Ovis aries: one gene and its partner. The protein of the gene in region 1 interacts with the protein of each later gene in a pairwise test. Links are inferred from orthologs where the notes say so. Each region holds a gene or a part of one and is shown on either strand. Other genes may lie near its edges.

Region 1 (3,804 bases):
AAAGGGCTACACAGTAAGTATTTTAGGCATTGCGGTCAGCTCTGCCATGCAGCCATCTAAGCAGCCATAGAGGATATGTAAATGAGTGGGTGCGGTTATGTTCTAAATACAACTTTATTCACAAAAACAGGCAGCTGTTTGTGGGCCTCAGTTCACTAGTCTCTACCCTTAAGCAAGAAACTCACTGAAGAAGAGATTATCAAGATCACGGCAGACAGTTTCAGGAACACACAGAACGATCTTTGGTGAAAGAAAGACGAAGAGCCACTGTCCCTGCTGGACTCTCAATGTCTTCATATTCCAAAGTCCTATTCATGCCTGAGAGCTCATGTTCCTACAGGGAAGGGAGCCGGCTTGCAGGCCCCTTCCTTGGCTTGTAGGTTAGTTCACTGTGTTGCTAGAACAAGAGTATTTCTAAATATCTGGGTGGAGGTGAATGTTGAAGTGACAGCCTCCAAGAAACCTGTAAGGAAAGACACTTTTCCCATTTTAGGAGCTGCCGCGTTAGTTAGCACTCAGCTCCGTGATCCCTCTGTTAAACACACTTTTCTGGCTGGTATTACATCTTGATAATCTGGTCATTCCCCTAGTCCCTGCCACCAGATGGGTGCCCAGTGGCAACAACTCCAACGCGGTCAAGCCAAGTAAAGCTATTTAGGTCGAATTTCCCACTAAGTCCACTTTCCCCACCCTCCTTGCTCCAGAAGTACAGGGACAAACCTGGTCCCAGTGACACCTTGTAAGGAGGGGAACAGCAAATGGAGCAGGCCCATAATCACACTAGTTATCCAACCAAGGGACACAATAACCGAGGAAAACCAGAATGAAGCAAAATAAAAGTGACTCGTCCTAGATGCCTCTTCAAGGCGAGAGACGCCTAGAAAGAACAGTCTGAAAGGTTTCTATGGAAGTGGTGATCACCAGGGACCCTGGAAGGAAAGAAAAGCATGAGTCTCTCTTTTCTACCATGAAAACTTTGGCTGAGGGGCTACAAGGCTGACTCATACATAACTATCTGCTATGTTTACAAGACAGGGAACAGTTCCTTGGCCACAGTTAATTATCAAGGGCCAGGAAGGCAGCACAGCCACAACATCCTCAAATAAAACTGGCAAAGGAGGCATCCCCAGTTTCTACTTAGCAGGACCACAGGAGGCTAGATTCCTAGAGTGGGATGAACAAAGAGCCCATGTAAGTCAGTGGCTGAGCCCACAGGAACTTGGTCATTCAAAGCTGACTTCAGCAACCCTGTGTTCTTCTTGCAAAGCCTCCAGCTCCCTCTAATGGGCATCACCGGTAAGTGCCACAGATGGCAGTGTCTTCTTCCACAGGTTGGATTGGCCTATTTGTACCTAACAGTGAAAGAAGTGAGAAAACAAACAAAAGCAAACCAGCTCTGTCTGCAGAAGCACTTTGTGAGTGGTGCCTGGCACACAAGCTTGCTTTGACCACCGACAAGGAGTTTATCACACTCCCTGGTAACACCCACTCTGGGGGTGCTGCCACAAGGTCGGCAGGCCTTTCCAAAATCCACGCGGAAATGCTGGGACAGGGCAGGGCCAGAAATCCAACAAAAGAGAACACCAAAACCATTTGGCCATTCCCAGGGCACTAATGAAAAGTCCGAGGATCGCCAAGCAGCCAAAGGATCGTCAAAATGGTCATAAGCCAGATTACCACCAAAGGGAAGGGCCAGCCTCTCCAACAGGAAGATGTAATATACACCTGAAAATATGCCCCAAGGTGGGACTATCACTGGAATCCCATTACAGCAGCGCCTGTTTATGAGGAGCACAGTGCTCAAAGCCTCAAACTGCGGCACTGCCAGAGCAGGGAGGAAGGGCCATGGGACCACTGACTCGGGCCTAGACTCACAGCAAAGCTCCAGGGGAGACAGCGGGGTAAGGAGTCTGGAGAACAATGTTCAAGGCTAGAAGAAGCAAGTACTACAGAAAGAACCAGTCAGATGGGAAGGTTGACCTTTTGAGGGAAAAATTCAGAGTTGTCCTCCTTCCACCATTTCAAAGCCTGCAGGGTTATAACTATGGGAAAAATGGGAAGGTATATGCTAACATATCTGCATCTGTTTAAGCCTTGCTACAACCCTGCCGAACACAGACTCTGTCCAAATCCAGTGGGTAACTTTTCAAGGGCAAATGGAAGGTCAACATGTACTCAGGGCAGACAGGAAGTTATTCAGTAAGCTCTTCCATCGATGGACCTGCTCTCTGGAAAGAAGCCAACAATACATAGCAAAGACACCAAACACGGAAGCAGCGCTAAGCCTAACACAAATAAAATGCTTCAATTTGCTCTAAGAACAATCGAGTAACAGAAAGATGCCAACGGGTTATACTGAAACTGAAAAACTAAAATTATACCTCAACATGACCTGCATAGTTAGACCCAACTAAGCAAGAGGGGGAAAGGCAGAGGGGGAGCCACCAGGAGAATAGGTGGAGGCGGCCTAGGCCTCTGAGATGCAGCTGGCACTGGGGGCCACACTTCCCTTCCCCCGTTCCCCAGCAGAGCAGAGGTGACAACAGAACCCGGGCCACATACAGGCCTCACTCCAGCAGCTTTCCCTCCGGCCGCCTCAGCCTCCCTGCTCACAGAGTCCCGGTCGGACGAGCGTCCGCTGGCCGTGCTATCCAGGGACTGGCAGGAGACAGCATTGTACAGCGCCTCATAGGGACCCTCCTCTTCTCTGTTGGTGTTAAAATCGATGATCAGTTCAGTCACTGCTTTCTCCAGGTCACCTAAAGAGGAGTGGGAAGGCAAGAATTGGTGAGAGGAGGACACAGTCTCGGACTTCCCACCACGGCAACTAGCCAAAGCCCCTCCAATCACCTGAACTTGACCAGCGTTAACCCAGAGCAGGAAAATAAATTATGGCTCTCTCCATGGACAAGACTAAATACAGAATTTCATCTGCACTATATACTCTGAGAACTGAACAAAATTTTCTCTAGTTCAAGATGGAACATTTGACATCAATGAAGGACATCTCCCAAGACTGTTATAAATTTCGAAATACCTCAATATCATGACAGCATGAACATAAACCAGAAAATATAGCAAAGTACAACGGAAAAAACTTCAGTAATTCCTTTACGTTCTTAACAGGAACCTCCATGTGCTCAAGCAAAACAGGATGGTGGAGTCTCTCTGAGATGGGGCTGCTGTGTGGCTGTTGAGACTCACTTGCTAGGTAACTACAAACCTCAGGGTGCCTGGGATCCAAATGTGTGCCTCTGTCTGCAAAGTAACCAGGGATCTGATTATAAACCGGGGATCTCTGGGTCACTTGCAAAGAGTCAAAACTGTAACTATAAAATCCTTGAAAGCTAAGAGCTTAGTGAACTACTAATCCCATTACCAGCAGATTATGAGGTCAAGAAAAAAAATGTGACTGGGGAGGGTTACAGGGACTCCACAGTAAAGATAGGCTGGGAAGCCCTGAACCCTTGTATCTCTGCTGTCCTCTGAAAAATCTCTTTCCTTTTTTAGTATGTGGCTTTGCTCTGTTTCTCTAGCCTTCCTCATTGTGATCTGCATCTGGGGGAGGTGTCAGCCTGTGTTCTGTCTTTCTCATCCATCAGACCTAGGATCCAAAAGGCCTGCTCAATCCATCTGAAGAGCTGGATCCTGGCTAATGATGGAGAGGCTGGACTGCCCACACTAGCACCCAGACCACATTTGTTGGACAAATGATACATTACTAAAACCTGCCATATATATAGCTACCAACCAGATGACACTCATTAAATATTTACTATGGGCCAGCTATATTCAAGGCACTAC
Region 2 (4,604 bases), on another chromosome or scaffold:
CAGGTTCAGTTGGCTCCCACCAAGTTCTCCACCGTTGCCTCCTCCTGGGTCCCCTCTCCCTTCTTACTCTGTGGCCACACTGGCCTTTCTGCTCCTTGAACATCAAGCTTTTCCCTGCCTCAGGGCCCTTGCCCATGCTGCTTCCTCTTTTCAGGAGCCTTCTCAGACCGGTGTTGAGGATGCTCTTTCTTCAGATCTTTGCCTGGTGGGTTATTTGCCCTCTCCTGAGAAGCCTTCCTGGACCATCCTGTCTAACATCCCCCCATTCACTCATGGTCCCACTCAGCCTCTCACATTCTCCATAGCATGCATGGCAATCTGAGATTTGTTCTCTGGGCTTCTGGGCTGTATCCCAGGCTTCTAGGTGCTTGCCGAGTGACGGGACGTGAACGAGCATGGAGATGAACAAGGTGTGGGTGAAATGGTCTTCCCGGCCCGCCCCTGGATGCCTTACCCACCTGCCCTGTGCTCACCGGGAAGGCCAGCTGACAGATGGGGCCCATCCATGCCTGGCGGTGCTCTGCGGCCAGCAGGTGGCTTCGCTCCGTGGTGGTGAGCAGGAAGGCACCTGTGTCCCGGGGGCAGCTCTCACCATCAGCCGGTAGCACAGAGACGCAGTCAGCCAGGCGGATGATCCTCCGTTCTCCCCGCCGGCCAGGCCCCGCAGACCTGTCACCTGCTGGCCCTAGGCCACCATCCCGGACCTCCCAGCTCTCTAGCCGGGCCACGCCCGAGGGGCCTCCTGCATAGAGTAGACCCCATACCTTCCGCCAGGACTTCTGCAGGAGATAAAAATGGGGGAGATGACCCTCAAGTGGCAGTTCCCAACCTGCAGCAGCTCAACCCCACACAAGCCATTCAGCCAGTGCTCCTGGCCACCCAGGGTGGCCTCCGCCTCCCCACTCCTCAGGCCACGTGAAAGCAAAGTGTTGTCCAGTCGTGTCCGACTCTTTGTGACCCCATGGACTGTAGCCCACCAGGCTCCTCTGGCCACAGGATTTTTCCAGGCAAGAATACTGGAGTGGGTTGCCATTTCCTTCTCCAGGGGATCTTCCTGGCCTAGGGGTTGAACCCAGGTCTCCTGCACTGCAGGCAGACTCCTTACTGTCTGAGTGGCTTTTTTACCATCTGAGCCACCAGGGAAGCCCAGGATGCCTTGCCAGAGCTGGCATGGCAAGGGGGACAGTCTGTACTTGGAGTCAGTCAGCACCCCCATCTACCCCCACAATTTCCCAACTGTGATCCCCATAAGCACTAGTATCTTCGTCTCTCAAAGGTCATGAGGGGGGGCTTCCCTGGTGGTCCAGTGGCTAGGACTCCATGCTCCCAGTGCAGGGGCCTGGGTTTGATCCCTGATCGGGGAACTGGATCCCACATGGGGCAAGTAAAACATCCTGCACGCCACCACTGAGACCCAGCATGGCCAAATAAATAATAAAATAAAATACTTAAAAAAACAAATGGTTATGAGAACGCACAAGGTTGGGGCTTCTACTGGGTACTATCTAGTGGCTAGAGCAGACCACCTGCACCCCTGCTTTGTCAGTGCCCCCACCGCCTGCAAAGAAAAGGTCAATTAGGCCATGGGGCAAGGGCTGGGGTGGGAGGGAGGCCTCGGTCTCATGATGGCAAGGAAGGAAACATGCAAATAATTCCGAGCAAAGGAAACAGACGGTTTATCTGCCTGGGCAGCAGCTGCGGCTGAGCTATGGGTGTGCAGGGCCCGCGACCTGAGGACAGGGCTGGGAAGAGCTGAGCCCTCTTGGGCAGGATGGAGCTCCACTTTTAGGGGCTCCTCCAGCTCAGCCTCCAGCCCTCTCAGGGGCCACAGTGCCACTGGTAGACGGGATGGAAGGCTGTTGGATTAGCCGCTCCCTCACCTCTGCTCTGCCCCATTGGTGGCATTACCAGCTCCCTGCTCTTGGCTTCCCACCTGTAAATGAGGCAGGGTCTCGCTGAGGCTGAACTTCTCCACACCCAGGTTGGACTCCCCACCCTGACGCCTACCCTCTTTCTCCCAATCCTAGTGGCCTGTCCGAGTCTGGGGCAGAGGCCCACTACCTGTCCTAGGCGGCCACCTGGCAGCCAGGGTCCCCACCTTGCCGAACTTGATGTGCTGCTGGTAGAGGATGCCGTCCTTGACGGGGGTCTCCAGAGGCTCCATGGCGCGGCCGGACCCAGGGCCGCCACTCCGAGGACCTGCAGAGACTGATGACGGGTAGGAGGGGAACTCCTCACACTTCCCCTTCTGGCCACTTCCCCCTCCCTCTGTCCAGAGCGGCAGCTGCAGGACTGGGGGAGGGGAGCCCTGCCTACACCATAAAGGAGCTAGAACAGGGTGGGGAGGGCATCCCATATTTCTCCCTTGGGGTTCCAGGTATCCCACTAGGGCCAGGCAGGGACCTCAGACCACCTGAGGGCAGATGATCCCTGCCTGTTCCGGTCAGCTGGGTGTGAGCTTCTGACCCCAGGCTGGCTCCCGAGTCATGAGCTCCGACCCCTCCCCCATCCTGGGGCAGTTGTGTACCCTGGGTCCTGGCATGCCCACAGCCTGGTCCCCACCTCAGGACCTTACTCTAGCCAGATGGGCAAACTCCTTGCCTTCCCATTCAAGAGTCCTAGTTGGTTGGCCTGTCTTTGTGCTGGAAAACAGTTCTAACAATCACTTGGTCCTCTCCATTTCACAGCTCCTGTCTGTTGCCAGCCTTGGCATCTTCCCATTGAACCATGGCCCCACCTGGGCCCATCAGGCCCTTTCTGCCATGCCCAAACAACCCATCCCTTCCCTTCCTAAACACTGCCTGGCTCCCAGTGCCCTCAGGTCTAGCTTGGACTCCTGGGCCCAGCACTCGAGGAGGATTCTCTCCTCTACCTCCCCACGCCTGGCCCCTTCAGGGCACCTCTCACCGTGCTCCTCAGGGCACTGGGCCTTCTCCCTCTGGCCTTCTTCCTCCAGGAGGCCTCCCTTGACCACCCCACGCTATCTTGAGAGCACAAAGGCCCCAGCCCTCATGGCACGGCCCCAGCCACGTGAGTGTGGCACGCCCCTGCAGAGTTCCCTGGAGATCTCACGTGCTTTTTTTTTTTTAAGCTTTGCTTCTTACTGGGACTCTTTCTAAGCCTTGCCTTGCTGGAGGCCAGTTATCTGAGCTCTGCATATGAATCTGAATTCTGGAGACAGCCTTGTGTCATTTATCCCGTGCCACTTCTAGGAAGCAATGTGTGAACAGGCCAAACACTGTTTGGGGGTCACATGTGGGTTGTGTAGCTTCTCAGGCAGGAAATCGAGGGCCTCATTCACCTGGCTTTGTGCCCATTATGGCCCAAGCAGCCCCAGACACCATGTCCTTTGCATTCTCATTGCCATTTCACCGATGAGGAAATCAACTCAGAAACATTAAGTAACTTGCCCAAGGCGACACACCAAGTAGCAAACATGGCTCGAGCAACGGCTGTCCTGCTGGGATAAGCGCGTGGCCTGCGCATGGAGTGTCTGGCGCAGAGGAGCTGCCACCAGGGCTCTTCTTCTATCGACCCCTAGCAAGAAATCCTGGCCCCTTTGCTAGCAGTCCCGAGACAGCAGCCTGCATTTATTCATGGCTGTTATTCATGGCTGATCCGTCTGTCCCACTCACTTGTGAACTTCCCAGAGGGCATCTGTCTGGCTCACCTGGGTCCTGAGCCCAACACATAGCTGGGTCAGTGGGTGCATGTGGCCTAGGTGGCAGTCCTATGGCATTTGCTGCCCACTTGGCAAACAGCAGAGGCCTTCCTACTGGGAGCCTGCGTGGGCAGGGGGCCTGAGACATGATGTCTCCAAAGGGCCTTAGGAGAAGCCCTGGGGAACTTTACACACTGACAGGAAGAGGGAGGCTGGGGCAGGCCTGGAGGTTATAACAGCCAACCAGAAAGACCAGAAACCCCAATCAACCATTTTCCTTTGGTCTATCAGGGTGGTCCTTCTCTGAGTCACAATAGAAGAAATTTACCCTAAGCCTCCACAGGAGGCCCCAGGCAATCAGCTCCTTTCACAGCTCAGTACCAGCAGGTTTTGGCAGTGGTGGTGGGAAATACCAAGGTCCAACCTCAGAAGGGCGCTGGTGGTCAGTGGGTGAGGCCTGCCCAGGGAGCACGGGGCAGACAAGGTGAAACACAGAGGCTGAGACCAGAAAGGCTTGTGCTTTAATGGCAGCTAGGGTAAAGGGGAGCAAAAATAGTAATTCTGGGGGGCATGGGGAGCAGGCAGCCAGGTCCAGCCTGGCCCAACCCAGGCCAGCTGAGCCGAGGTTGCTGTCTTCTTGTTCACAGGGCGGGTGTGTGTGTGTGTGTCTATGTGTGTGTGTTGGGGGGGCAGTGGTGGCGGCTGGAGCTCCAGGGACAGAGGCCCCTCGCGGAGGAGGGGTGGCAGCCAGCTCAGAAGTCCATGGAGCTGTGGGCCAGGTAGTCCTTGCGGCCGATGTTGCTAACCTGCTTCGTCTGCATGGCTTCAAGCTTGGGGCAGTCGGTGATCCGATGACCCAGGCCCCCACAGAAGGCACAGCCACGCTCTCCTGCGGGAATGGGGTACCGGGAGACGGAGGGTCAGCACGATGACAGGGCCAGTC

Evidence for each region.
Region 2: the proteins of ANKS1A (region 1) and DOK3 interact in a two-hybrid assay, tested with the Homo sapiens proteins (2 studies listed by BioGRID and IntAct). The link is inferred for Ovis aries from reciprocal best matches to the Homo sapiens genes ANKS1A and DOK3.

Annotation. Positions count from the first base shown.
Region 1 is NC_056073.1:9,105,444-9,109,247, reverse strand, and holds part of ANKS1A (ankyrin repeat and SAM domain-containing protein 1A), read right to left. Parts: intron 2,760-3,804; coding exon 2,563-2,759; intron 1-2,562. UniProt on the Homo sapiens protein: Regulator of different signaling pathways. Regulates EPHA8 receptor tyrosine kinase signaling to control cell migration and neurite retraction.
Region 2 is NC_056058.1:36,711,879-36,716,482, forward strand, and holds the start of DOK3 (docking protein 3), read right to left. Parts: upstream 2,988-4,604; 5' UTR 2,357-2,987; coding exon 2,099-2,356; intron 780-2,098; coding exon 459-779; intron 1-458. Other genes in the region: probable ATP-dependent RNA helicase DDX41, read right to left, coding at 4,414-4,550. UniProt on the Homo sapiens protein: DOK proteins are enzymatically inert adaptor or scaffolding proteins. They provide a docking platform for the assembly of multimolecular signaling complexes. DOK3 is a negative regulator of JNK signaling in B-cells through interaction with INPP5D/SHIP1.